Linked DNA regions of Drosophila melanogaster. The protein of the gene in region 3 interacts with the protein of the main gene of each other region in a pairwise test. Each region holds a gene or a part of one and is shown on either strand. Other genes may lie near its edges.

What was found. Proteins that work in one complex are often made in the same cells at the same time.
Region 1: the proteins of glob1 (region 3) and sala interact in a two-hybrid assay, tested with the Drosophila melanogaster proteins (one large-scale study listed by BioGRID).
Region 2: the proteins of glob1 (region 3) and CG13081 interact in a two-hybrid assay, tested with the Drosophila melanogaster proteins (one large-scale study listed by BioGRID).

What each region holds. Positions count from the first base shown.
Region 1 is NT_033779.5:11,482,755-11,487,503, forward strand, and holds sala (spalt-adjacent), read left to right. Parts: upstream 1-1,952; 5' UTR 1,953-2,277; intron 2,278-2,426; 5' UTR 2,427-2,460; coding exon of another isoform or gene 2,461-2,973; 5' UTR 2,974-3,000; exon of another isoform or gene 3,001-3,029; intron 3,030-3,327; 5' UTR 3,328-3,455; coding exon 3,456-3,467; intron 3,468-3,537; coding exon 3,538-3,954; 3' UTR 3,955-4,195; downstream 4,196-4,749. Other genes in the region: CG43355 (uncharacterized protein), read left to right, coding at 2,461-2,973. UniProt on the Drosophila melanogaster protein: Likely to be involved in the establishment of the head.
Region 2 is NT_033779.5:19,538,742-19,542,094, reverse strand, and holds CG13081 (uncharacterized protein), read right to left. Parts: upstream 1,489-3,353; 5' UTR 1,403-1,488; coding exon 1,102-1,402; intron 1,047-1,101; coding exon 869-1,046; intron 807-868; coding exon 752-806; 3' UTR 555-751; downstream 1-554. Other genes in the region: CG13082 (uncharacterized protein), read right to left, coding at 2,466-3,353.
Region 3 is NT_033777.3:15,901,640-15,906,407, reverse strand, and holds the start of glob1 (globin 1), read left to right. Parts: upstream 1-1,764; 5' UTR 1,765-1,906; intron 1,907-3,823; exon of another isoform or gene 3,824-3,965; intron 3,966-4,024; exon of another isoform or gene 4,025-4,206; intron 4,207-4,768.

The sequences.
Region 1 (4,749 bases), on a different chromosome or scaffold from region 3:
GGTCAGATTTTCCAATTTCATCATCATCTTCCATACAGTACAAGTATGCCATTTTGTTTTCCCTTAGCGGCACACAGTGGGTACCAGAATTGTTTTTCACAAAACCTTTTCATATGCACATACATTGTTGTACATACGACAACACCATAAATATATGCTTTAGGAGCATATTCGTATATGAACTAACTTAAACATACGTTACATTTTTGGGCATTATAATAGAACTTGAAGCTCTTGGGATAAAAAATATATAAAAAATTATTTTAAAAAAAAACTTTACTCATTTCTTCTGGTCTCATGAAAAAGCACTTCACGGTTTGAAAATTGTGAAGAGTATATGATGAAAAGCTGACACACGTGCGCTGAAGTTAAATGTATATACCACCAGCCAAAAAAAGCATTATCGCAAATTCACCGAAACTTTTCATAAGTTTGGAGAGCGCTGGGGGAGATCGTGTTCGAGAAAAGGTTTTCCCCGTGGGTTGGGTAAAATGTAAATATCGGTGGTAATGGCCGCCGCCCCAGGAGGTGGAAAAATCAACTGACCAGTAACTTTGGAGCCAACTTTGATGGCATCTTGCGAAAGTTGAAAGTGACTTAAGTGAAATTTCCACCTCAGGCGGCTCAGCAGCAGGACGACCTCGTCCCCTTTTCCATGGATTATCGAGGGGTCACGCCATGAACATGAGTAAAAATTAAATTGATTTTCCTCGGACATTGTTCGGACCTGTTCAGAAACTCGGTGTGCTTTTCTTTTTGGCCCTTCATGGGCTTCTGTCAACCCAATGTATTTTGTCGCATCCCTCGGAAAACTTGAGCTGGGCGAACTCCTTTAACTTGCCTATGTGGCATATTAAATTGGTGCGCAAATAGTTGTGTATTTTATTGACTCACTTTTACAGCTCAGCCAAGAGTATTTCGCATCTGCCCAAATTTTTAGCCAGCAAAATATTAAGTTGAGAGCTTTACCCCTGGAGTCTACCAATGCCGCAATACCATTCCTTTTCTACTCGACTTAAGCGACAATTTCATTTCAATTAAATTATAATTATATCTTCAGTTTGGCCCCATCAAGTTTGAGTCAAACAAAAAGTACAATTTTCATTTTCACCTTTGCGAAAGACGAGGCGGGCGTTGATAATTCCCCAAAATTGTTTGACACTTCAAAGTCATTATGAAGATAGCAATCACCAAACCCTGTTCCTCGGTCCGCTCAACTTTTCTCCAAGGGTCCTGGCATATCTTCACGACATTCACTCCCTGCCACTTCCAAGGCTCAGCAATCCTTCAGCTCCAGCCTGCCCCTCGTCCTTTTGCCACTTTACTCAATCCTAAGATGGGAATTGCCACGTCTGTCTACATACCTACATACCCGCAGCGCTTTTTGATGTAATTTTGGCATAAGCCAAAAAATGTTTCCTTTTCCCGAGATGTCTTTGTCTCCACTTCATTCCCCGGCGAGTGGTTTCCGAATGCGACACGCCCTGACAAATTCATCCGGGGAAAATGAGGAAAATGGCTGAAAATTAAATTTGGAATTAAAATTTTGGCCCTGGGCACATAACTTTATGCCGCTGGATTTTCTTTCCGCCCAGAAGGATTTCCTTACTCAAGGATAAATACTTAAGGCAAGCGTAGGCATAATAATAGCTAAGCAGCTTCTCGGAAATTAAGACGATTTAGTTGTTTAATTCTTTGGTTATCACTAGACTCCACAAATAAAGAGATAGATTGAAAATGTAATTAGATAATCAAATATAATTTTCACAGTTTTAAAGTTTAACAATATTGCTTATTTAAATGGTTGCTTTTCACCTCCGAATTTACTTTTAATCTCATAAGCATTTGAACTTGTAGTATTTTTGGCGGCGATATGTTATCAACAAACAACTCTTCCAAAAATAAACCTATATATTATTTTTTGGCAACCAAATACAATGCCACTCTAAATTGTAAATAACATTTAAGCAGCTGATCCAATTCTTGTGTTCAAAACAACAAAATTCAAAGCAATTAATTGTGCGCTGGTTTTTCTTTTTGCCTTTACTTGTATTAGGAATTATTCTTTAAAATATTTATTGATAGAGAAAAAAATATCCAGACTTATATATATCAATGAATTCGGCCACTGCGTCAACAAATCGAATTCTAACTTGTTTTAGCTATTAAAAGCAACAAATAAATGACGTATTAATAAGTACGCTAAAATAAACCAGTTGCAAAACAAACATTTATTTACTGTATATTGTTTCCATTAAGATAGAAATAGGAAAAAATGTAAGTCAATGAATATATACATAGAAAATATTCTTATCAGCTTACCATATGTATGTACAACGGACGTATAAACATATATAATAATTTTTGCATATAAAAAGATTCAAATGCATCTTGTTCTCAAAAATATTAGTCATACATCTTTTCAGATCGTTGCTCTAAATTCATCTGAGACTCGATCAGATGGGCTGTCGGCGATTTTCTGGAGGAGGACATCACCCACACGGAGGTCCACCTCCCCCTCGTCACCATCATCACCATCGTGGCAGACATGGTGCTGGTGGACGCTGTGGACACGGACACCAGCACCAGCCTTTTCCACCACCGCCTCATCGCCCCCATCGACATGGAAGTCACTTTTGGGAGGGATACGGTCCACCTCCACCACCGCCCCATTATCCACCACCAGGGGGATATCTGTATGGTGGCCACCATTGGCAGGGATATCCTCCTCCGCCACCTCCGCCTCCTTCTTCACACCACCCCCCACCATCTGGATCTCCAGCAGGAGGGTGTCCGCATTGCGGTTGCCCAGGAGGCGGTCCACCTCAAAGTGGATTTCCTGGTACCGAAAGACCTCACAACGAAACCTCAAACGACGATCAGCATGGCAGCTTCCAATCTCCAATTCCCGGTGGCGAAGTTCCTACTGATGAAATACCTGGAAAAAATAAATACGAAATCATTGATATTTAGACAACAGTAGAAAATGTTTCAAAAAAGGTAAAGTCACTATGTTATATCTTGTATCTGAGTAATGTCTTATTAATGATTTTATATTATCCGGATTTTCCTGATCAAAAAAATCGAGTAATGTTATGTTGATAAAAACTTTTCAAATATCAAATAAATAAATATAAATAAACAAATAATTTAAAAACTCCTTTATATTTCCGTCATTTCAATATGGTACTGAATTAGTATTAGTATTCTATTCAATTCCGGATTTTTCTGTTTTTCCATTTTCCCTCTTCCAATAAACTGGTTTATTTTATTTTCCATCGTAACCAGATGTTGACGGCAATACTTTTCTGTGATTTCCTTTTACAGGTAGAGACTCAAACTTAAGTCCCTCAGCCAGGTAGAATACCTTTCAGCTACCTACTTGATATTACCAAATCGTGGTATAAAAATCAAAAAAATATTAGAGCCGCCTCAGTACCGAAACTTCAGCCACGATGAAACTACTGGTGCGTCTTCTACTATAGAAATCTTAACTAACTTAGAAATATTTTTATAATAACAAATTTATAACTATAGATTGCTCTGTTTGCACTGGTGACCGCTGTGAACGCTCAGAATGGATTCGGCCAAGTTGGACAAGGAGGATATGGAGGGCAAGGAGGATTTGGAGGATTCGGAGGAATCGGCGGGCAAGCAGGTTTTGGTGGACAAATAGGATTCACTGGACAGGGTGGAGTTGGTGGCCAGGTGGGAATTGGTCAAGGCGGAGTCCACCCGGGTCAAGGAGGATTCGCTGGACAAGGTTCTCCAAACCAATATCAGCCTGGTTACGGAAGTCCTGTGGGATCTGGCCATTTCCATGGAACTAATCCAGTTGAGTCCGGTCATTTTCACGAAAATCCTCATGAATATCCGGAACATCATGGCGATCATCACCGTGAACATCATGAGCACCATGGACACCACGAACATCATGGACATCATAGACATTAGTACAAATATGAGAATACCCATGACAAAATTAAAGGAATGTAATGCTATAGTTCTCTACCGTAAATTCTTAAGAAACACTTGCTTGTTTCTGAAGTCTCTATTGTATCTAATGTCCAGAATTGATTTGTAAAAGTGATTCTTTATCTAAAACCCCCTTGAGATCCACTATACAACGTGCCTTCTTGAATTTCAGTATCTAAAATGAAAAAAAAAACGGAGTCTCAATAAAAAAGTAAATAAGGAAACGGAACCCTTTACTCTGTCCATTTTGGTTGAGGCATCTATAAATTATTTTGCAGATAGCATACAAGCATATATACCCCACACATCCCATCTCAACTTTTGCAATCGGAGAAAAGGATGCCGTCGACCGCTCCCAAGCGACATTTTCTGACCAAAGCAGCTGACAGAATTGAAAAATAAGCGACGTCCGACTAAAAGGGGGAATGGGGAGGGAATGGTAAAGGGTGGGGTTCAGGTGGGTGGGGGCTGAAGGTGAAAAATAAAAAATGGCGTCCAGTCGAGTGCTCAACCTCAAGATTTATAACGAAGGAAAAAAAATAGAGTCGAGGTGAGGGTGGGAAAAAAGAGCACACGTTAAAATAATGCAAAAGCTGAAGAAAACTAAAAAAAATGTGCGGGAAAAACTGCCACCCACACGGCCAAGGAAAGAGTGAGAAGGAAAACCGCACACACACTGATGCGCGCAACAACGGAAATGGAAAGGATAAAATTAATTTTTCTCCTTTATTGCCATTTACTTCACCTGCTGCTGCTGCTGCTGCTTTCTCCCAC
Region 2 (3,353 bases), on a different chromosome or scaffold from region 3:
CCTAGTAATATTGATAGGTATCAAACTGGAGAAGGTGAAGGGTGATATTTATATCTAAAACATATAAAGGATGGCGTCCTAATCATTCAATCCTTCAAAGGATTGAACTTCCAAATCGCGAGGTTCACGTGAACATTATTTCCGAATATACATATATATCTTGATATCACACGAAATTGCCTTCACGAATCTTTACTGAATGAGACTGGATTTATTCGCGGTCTTAAAAGCTTTGAAAACAATGTCCTCATGGAAATTAATCAATCGATGATGAAAATCAAAACAGAAAAAAAACAGAAATCAATTGTCCGGGATCTAAAGAAAATAGGAATGAAAAGCATATGATTTCGGAGTTCTCAAATCGGACGATCTGCAGATATCCACTATTGGATGCCGAGTCTTGCTTGCAAATTAGCTCCGCTTTCGAGGATTCATCTCCAGACTGAGCTTTCTATTGGATTCCCAGAAAATTTTAATTTTTTTTATAAAGATAGTTGACACACTAAGTTAAAATAAAAAAAAAAAAACATCGTATGTCATGCTTTTCAATATTTATATATTTTGAATGGAAAAGTGATGGATGTTTAAAATACCAAGTACTGTACAGTGATTTTGAACTTTTTAAATATTGTTCAGTGGAACAGCACCAATGGGATCAACGGAAATTTAAATTCGAAGAATGATTTTATTTGCTATGTATTTTCCAAGAACTTAGGACTAATTTCTTGTCATAGTATCTAAAGATATCATTTTAGGCCTTAGAACTTTTGAGCATCTTAAGCAATTGGAGCAGTTGAGTTGGAGATCTGAGCAAAAACCATCTTTTAATTAGTTTCTAAGCAGAATTACATATTAGTGCTGTACTAACCGGCTGGCAGTTTGAGAAGCTACAATTTGATGTTGTCTGCTTTCCAAATTAATCTGGGCTAGCTCAGGAATCTTAGTTACGCCCTCGGTGGAACCAGAGTCTGTGTCGGTCTCAGGATCCCTCTCGTACATCTGAGTTGAATCTGGATCCGGTGTAGATTGGCGCAACAACATTTCACCTGGCGTGGAATTAGTGTTATGTCGGCAATTCGATTCTATTACAGTAGTACTCACTCAAGTAGGACTCTGCCATGGAGTAGAGCAAGCTGGAGCTCATTTGAGGCGCCATTCCGATGACGACCCCATCCACTTTGAACTGATAGTTCTCCCCACCCTTTTGCCGTTGGTCGTATAGAATGTCCTCGCGCTGAAAACCATTCTCGGAATAGTCGTCGTATAAGACGTCCAGCAAGTCGCTGATCACGTTCCTCGAATTCCCTGGCCTAGTCTTGCCGCCAACGGGCTGGGCCAGAATTCTTCCAAGTGCCACAAGCAGCAGGGCGAACACAAACAGCCGGTTGGTGAACTTGCACATGATGTTGCCCAAGCGAAAAGACCGCAGGACCGATGTGCTCCAATGGCGTGCGTTGAATGATTCCAAGTTCTCGGCCGCTGTGAAGGCGAGCCCACCTGGACCACAACTGGAGACTGGAAGACCAAGAAAACCCGATTTATGGACACAGTTCAATGGCCGCCTCCAATCAGCCCAAAGACTTCCGCATTGCCAGGTTGCTGTGGGAATCTTTAGCTCCGCGCATTTCTAATGCTTCCCAGCAGCCACGTTCGAAGTCCGTTCCATTCGAGAGGAACTATCTGCCTTGTGTTCGATCTTCTCCGGCTCCTCATCTAACCCATTGTCGTTCGCAGATATCGCATTGAGTTTCAAGAAGAAACTTCTTTTTTTATTATTGTGATGAGTTATTTTCACTCATCTTGCGCCAATTTAAATTTGTTTAGTAACCCAATCTCTGTAAGCATGATTCCAAAAAAAGTTAACCCAATAACCTCAATTTGCCGCAAAAAGAAGTCCAAAATCTTTATGGCAGTGCTAATTGCCCCGCCTGCAATAGACACAGCTAGATCTCTTTCAGTTATCTAGTCTGGGTGCAGTTCTGGGCGCGGGTTCAATGACTTGGCCACAGGAAGGGGCTGGCAGCCACCTGCAAACTGGTTTCGCACATAAATCTCGCGTACATCGCAAACTATGGAGCACCTGGCCTTTGGCTCTGGACAGTAATTGCCGTTTTATGGCCCCAGGAAGGCTATCCAGACTCCAGCCTCATCCTTCAGCGCATCATTAAAGCCGAACTCGAACCGTTAGATCCAGTGCCCACTTCCGCCGTTGGAGCATCTACATAGAAGGTGATTTGCAATCTGAAGCTAACTATTAACAAAAAGTTATTAGCCATGTAATGGTGCTTAATGTTAGTCGCAAATAAATCATCTCCCATATTTGCTCCTACTAACGAGCAGTTTAATCTCAATGTCGATTATGTTTTCGTATTTATTAATAAGACAATTTCGTCGGCTTAATTCTAGAGTGTGCAATGTATGAAACTAACATTTAAGCTGGCAGTCTGGCGTTCTCACTCCTCCGCTTAATAGCCCTCGATCTGGCGACATTCGCCGTAGCTATCACGACGTTCTCCGCGAGCGCAGCGCGCCAGTCCGTCCCGGAGGAGGGTTCGGGACTCGGCCAGGTCGTCGTCGGCCAACAGATCGAAGCTAACGATCTCCGGTTCCACCGCTTGTGCCCGAGTGGGTTCCTCGTCCAGTTGCCAGGAGCGCGATTGGTCCGAGAAGTAGGTGGGTGCGTCGATGGGGGGGTAAAGGCCATTGGCTCCTCTGCCAAGATCGCTGCGGTAAATGGGGGCACTAATGGAGCGCGGACTGGCATAATCGCCGCCGGTCAGGCGATTGGTATCCAGATAGCTATCGCCTCTCAAGGAGCGGGAGCTGCGGAAGTACTGCGATCCGGGATGATTGAAGCTCTCGAGGAGATTAGAACCGGCACTGCTGCTGGCGGAGACGGGGGGCAGAGCTTGAATCAACTCCGGTTCCGCCTCCAAGTGGAAGGGCTTAATTAGCTGCGGCATGGGTATCAGTTGCGGAGGCAGCACGTCCACCTGCTGGCGCTGCAGGCGTTGAGCCTGCTCCGGATCGCTGGCTGAGATGTCCACGTGATAGGGCGACCGACCCTCAATGAACTCCGGCAGATGCGCCGCTGGCGAGGATTGGCGCTGATTCTGTTGCTGCTGCAACTTCTGCAGCTGACTTTTCTGGTAGAAGGACTTCAGTGAGTTGCTCCTCGCGGGATGTTTGCGCTTGAGCGATCCACTGCCCTTGGTGTTTCCGCGACCCAGTAGCTCCAGCAGGCTGATGCCCTCCTGCGGTCCAGGTGGAATCAGGAGGATCATGAAGTTCTCCAGATCAGCACGAATGTTGTACTGCCCCTCCTGGCGCTGATCATACGTGATTGTGCGGCG
Region 3 (4,768 bases):
CGTCCATTGTGATATAATTATCCAATTAAGATTAGTCAAACATTTGTTTTTGCGCCTCTGTTTACTTTCCCGATGCTCGCCGTTTATCTTCAGCCAAAACTCTCGCGTTGATCGAGTTTTATCTGCTCTTTCCGACCAACTACCTTTATGGCTGAAACGATACTGAGCGGGTTTGCCACACTGCGGATCTGGCCGCTCATATGCTTGCTGAACACACAAGTAGTTCCCCCGAAAAATTGGATAACACGCTCTCCCTCTCCAATTATTTTCGTTTTCGGCGCTCTCTGGGGGATCATTGTTGTGGTTTGTTTTCACCTCGCGAGCAGCCTTTTGTTTACTCAGGAGCGGATTCGTTGGGCCCCCATGCCAAATTTCAAGTTTGAGGACATAAATGACAATGTGCAGCATATGGTATAATTTATGCGGCCAGTCAAAGTAGGAAAACAATTAGTTTCCTAAAGAAATAAAGCTAAGCCAAACGAATATAAATAAAATGTAACTGAAAAACTAATATTCTGTTTTACCTTGGATAATCATTTATATTTTAATTCATTTTATAAAAAGGTTTACAATTGAATCAGTCTTTAAACGTGCATGAATGAAACCAATTATTCTTTTCCACAATACTTCTAGTACCTATAGATATTTAAAATTCAATTCATATTTTTGTGGGAACATATGGCACGTGGCAAGCCTACTAATTTTTGGTACTTAAGGAATTTCATCCAAAGTCTCTTTTAATTACTAACATCGTGTCTTGAATCTCTCATCTGGAAGTACTAAACAAATAATTTAATCACGCACTTACTAATTTGTTTGTTTCAGCGAATATAGCGTCATTTGTATTAAAGTCTCGACTGTAATATAATTACTTCCAAATTGGGCTTAAACCATACTGTGTTTAACAAAAAAAACTTCAACAGGAAACTGTGACGTGATTTGAAAAAAAATTGACAATAAATTGTGAACAAAATATTGTATAATTGAACACCTATAATTGCAGTGCGAAATTTTCTTAGGGCTTGATTTTTTTTTAATATCAACAAGATTTTACTCTTATATTGTCTGGACTGCAGTTCCTACAATTAGTTGAAAATAGTCTTTAAAACGTAAATAAAATTAAATACATTGTCGCCAAAGATGGAATGACGAAAACGACATTAACTTTCACAATCTAATACCAAGATATCCATCATGCTATATTTAAATTAACCTTGATCAATAATTATTCAAGGCACGGGAAAACAAATAGCTCGTCACGAAAGGTGTTATTTGTTTGCAGTTTGCTTTTGGATTGGATCCACCTGGTAGAAGAATTTAGTGTACTAAAGGAGAGCTTTACAAATATTGTAATTTGATACATTATGTTTTGGATTAGCATTTGATTTATTCTTCACAGTGAAGCGAATTGTTTGCTTTGTTACAATCATCTAATATTTTCGAATACAATGTTTGCCTTTTTTAAGCTTAGGTATAGGTAAATTTGATTATCAAGGTTAGTTCTTTATACTTAAAGTAATTATGTCTTGTAGTCTAGCCGAAAACTGGATTTTGCTGCTTCTTTTAATCTCCTGACTCCTAAAACTCCGAAGCTTCAAAATTCGGAGCGCGCGTTTTATTGATTCGCTTCGTTCTAATGTTGTGACAAGCAGTCTCAGACAATATTTACCAAATCTTACGAAATGAAAGACCCATACGTATACTTTCACCCAAGTTGACCTCTCTGGATGATAGTGTACGAAGATTATCAGCTCGGAAACTTTTGTAGCTTCGTTTGCTGCGTTTATTTTGTGTCAGTTGTTGTTGCCGCTCGGAAGTCTTTTATAAAGGCCAGTCGGGCTAGAAATTCTATTCAGTTCAAATATTAACGGCGTCGTGTGCAGTTGCCTGGCATTTGATATAAACTGTGAGTGTGAATTGGAAAATAGTGTTCTATCCCATCCATATTTATGCAAATATTTATAGTAGAGTGATTGCATTCGTAAATCGACGTTGCTTACAATTCCCGTTCATATAGTAGCAAAATAAACAATCCGTGTGCGGTGTGATATTTGAATGCAACGCATTTTGTTGGGTATAAATTGGCAGTGCTTGTTTGTTTGTCCGCCACTTGGTTTATTGAAAATTACTGATGGAGGCTTATTAAGGTAGTGATAGTGAATAAACATTTATAAAAATAGTACAGCGCCACGATAAGGCTAAATCTTTCACTTGTGCATGTGATATATTGATAAGAACAAATAGAAGATTATTGTTGAAGTAAAGAATAAACAAATAAACAAAACAACTGAATGGAGTGTTTGAAAAGATTTGTCATATTGCGAATCTTAAACATCGAAATATTAAGAGTCGACCTAACTAGTTTTAAAAATCTTTGAATTTTTTCATTTCTAATACAAAATGTGCTTTCATTTGTTTTGCTGGATTAATTACATAATTATATTTGAAGATAGCTTAGACATCACGACAACAAATATTTGTTTATAGCTCCTAAAGCTTAGATTACATTGCGCATTTGAAGAAAGCCACTGCCCAACGGTTAAGTAAGCTTTTCCTGTTCTAAGCCCAAGCTTTTAAGAGATAGCTTTGTTTTGGGGCCAGCACTTTGACTACGCTCCTTTAAAACGTCGGAAGGTCCACAGGTGTCACTGGAAAATGTTTGATTTGGGCGTGTTGGTTCGACAGGTGTCGTCCCATTTTGAATTTGTTATGAAATGTGACAGCAAATCGGGGGAGTGTCCATAAGTGGGCTCTACGCCTGATCGGAATATCAATTGTTTTGGGCAAATGACACACCTCAAAGCCCCCGTTGAACTACGCCTCTCTCATCTGGAAGTACTAAACAAATAATTTAATCACGCACTTACTAATTTGTTTGTTTCAGCGAATATAGCGTCATTTGTATTAAAGTCTCGACTGTAATATAATTACTTCCAAATTGGGCTTAAACCATACTGTGTTTAACAAAAAAAACTTCAACAGGAAACTGTGACGTGATTTGAAAAAAAATTGACAATAAATTGTGAACAAAATATTGTATAATTGAACACCTATAATTGCAGTGCGAAATTTTCTTAGGGCTTGATTTTTTTTTAATATCAACAAGATTTTACTCTTATATTGTCTGGACTGCAGTTCCTACAATTAGTTGAAAATAGTCTTTAAAACGTAAATAAAATTAAATACATTGTCGCCAAAGATGGAATGACGAAAACGACATTAACTTTCACAATCTAATACCAAGATATCCATCATGCTATATTTAAATTAACCTTGATCAATAATTATTCAAGGCACGGGAAAACAAATAGCTCGTCACGAAAGGTGTTATTTGTTTGCAGTTTGCTTTTGGATTGGATCCACCTGGTAGAAGAATTTAGTGTACTAAAGGAGAGCTTTACAAATATTGTAATTTGATACATTATGTTTTGGATTAGCATTTGATTTATTCTTCACAGTGAAGCGAATTGTTTGCTTTGTTACAATCATCTAATATTTTCGAATACAATGTTTGCCTTTTTTAAGCTTAGGTATAGGTAAATTTGATTATCAAGGTTAGTTCTTTATACTTAAAGTAATTATGTCTTGTAGTCTAGCCGAAAACTGGATTTTGCTGCTTCTTTTAATCTCCTGACTCCTAAAACTCCGAAGCTTCAAAATTCGGAGCGCGCGTTTTATTGATTCGCTTCGTTCTAATGTTGTGACAAGCAGTCTCAGACAATATTTACCAAATCTTACGAAATGAAAGACCCATACGTATACTTTCACCCAAGTTGACCTCTCTGGATGATAGTGTACGAAGATTATCAGCTCGGAAACTTTTGTAGCTTCGTTTGCTGCGTTTATTTTGTGTCAGTTGTTGTTGCCGCTCGGAAGTCTTTTATAAAGGCCAGTCGGGCTAGAAATTCTATTCAGTTCAAATATTAACGGCGTCGTGTGCAGTTGCCTGGCATTTGATATAAACTGTGAGTGTGAATTGGAAAATAGTGTTCTATCCCATCCATATTTATGCAAATATTTATAGTAGAGTGATTGCATTCGTAAATCGACGTTGCTTACAATTCCCGTTCATATAGTAGCAAAATAAACAATCCGTGTGCGGTGTGATATTTGAATGCAACGCATTTTGTTGGGTATAAATTGGCAGTGCTTGTTTGTTTGTCCGCCACTTGGTTTATTGAAAATTACTGATGGAGGCTTATTAAGGTAGTGATAGTGAATAAACATTTATAAAAATAGTACAGCGCCACGATAAGGCTAAATCTTTCACTTGTGCATGTGATATATTGATAAGAACAAATAGAAGATTATTGTTGAAGTAAAGAATAAACAAATAAACAAAACAACTGAATGGAGTGTTTGAAAAGATTTGTCATATTGCGAATCTTAAACATCGAAATATTAAGAGTCGACCTAACTAGTTTTAAAAATCTTTGAATTTTTTCATTTCTAATACAAAATGTGCTTTCATTTGTTTTGCTGGATTAATTACATAATTATATTTGAAGATAGCTTAGACATCACGACAACAAATATTTGTTTATAGCTCCTAAAGCTTAGATTACATTGCGCATTTGAAGAAAGCCACTGCCCAACGGTTAAGTAAGCTTTTCCTGTTCTAAGCCCAAGCTTTTAAGAGATAGCTTTGTTTTGGGGCCAGCACTTTGACTACGCTCCTTTAAAACGTCGGAAGGTCCACAGGTGTCACTGGAAAATGTTTGATTTGGGCGTGTTGGTTCGACAGGTGTCGTCCCATTTTGAATTTGTT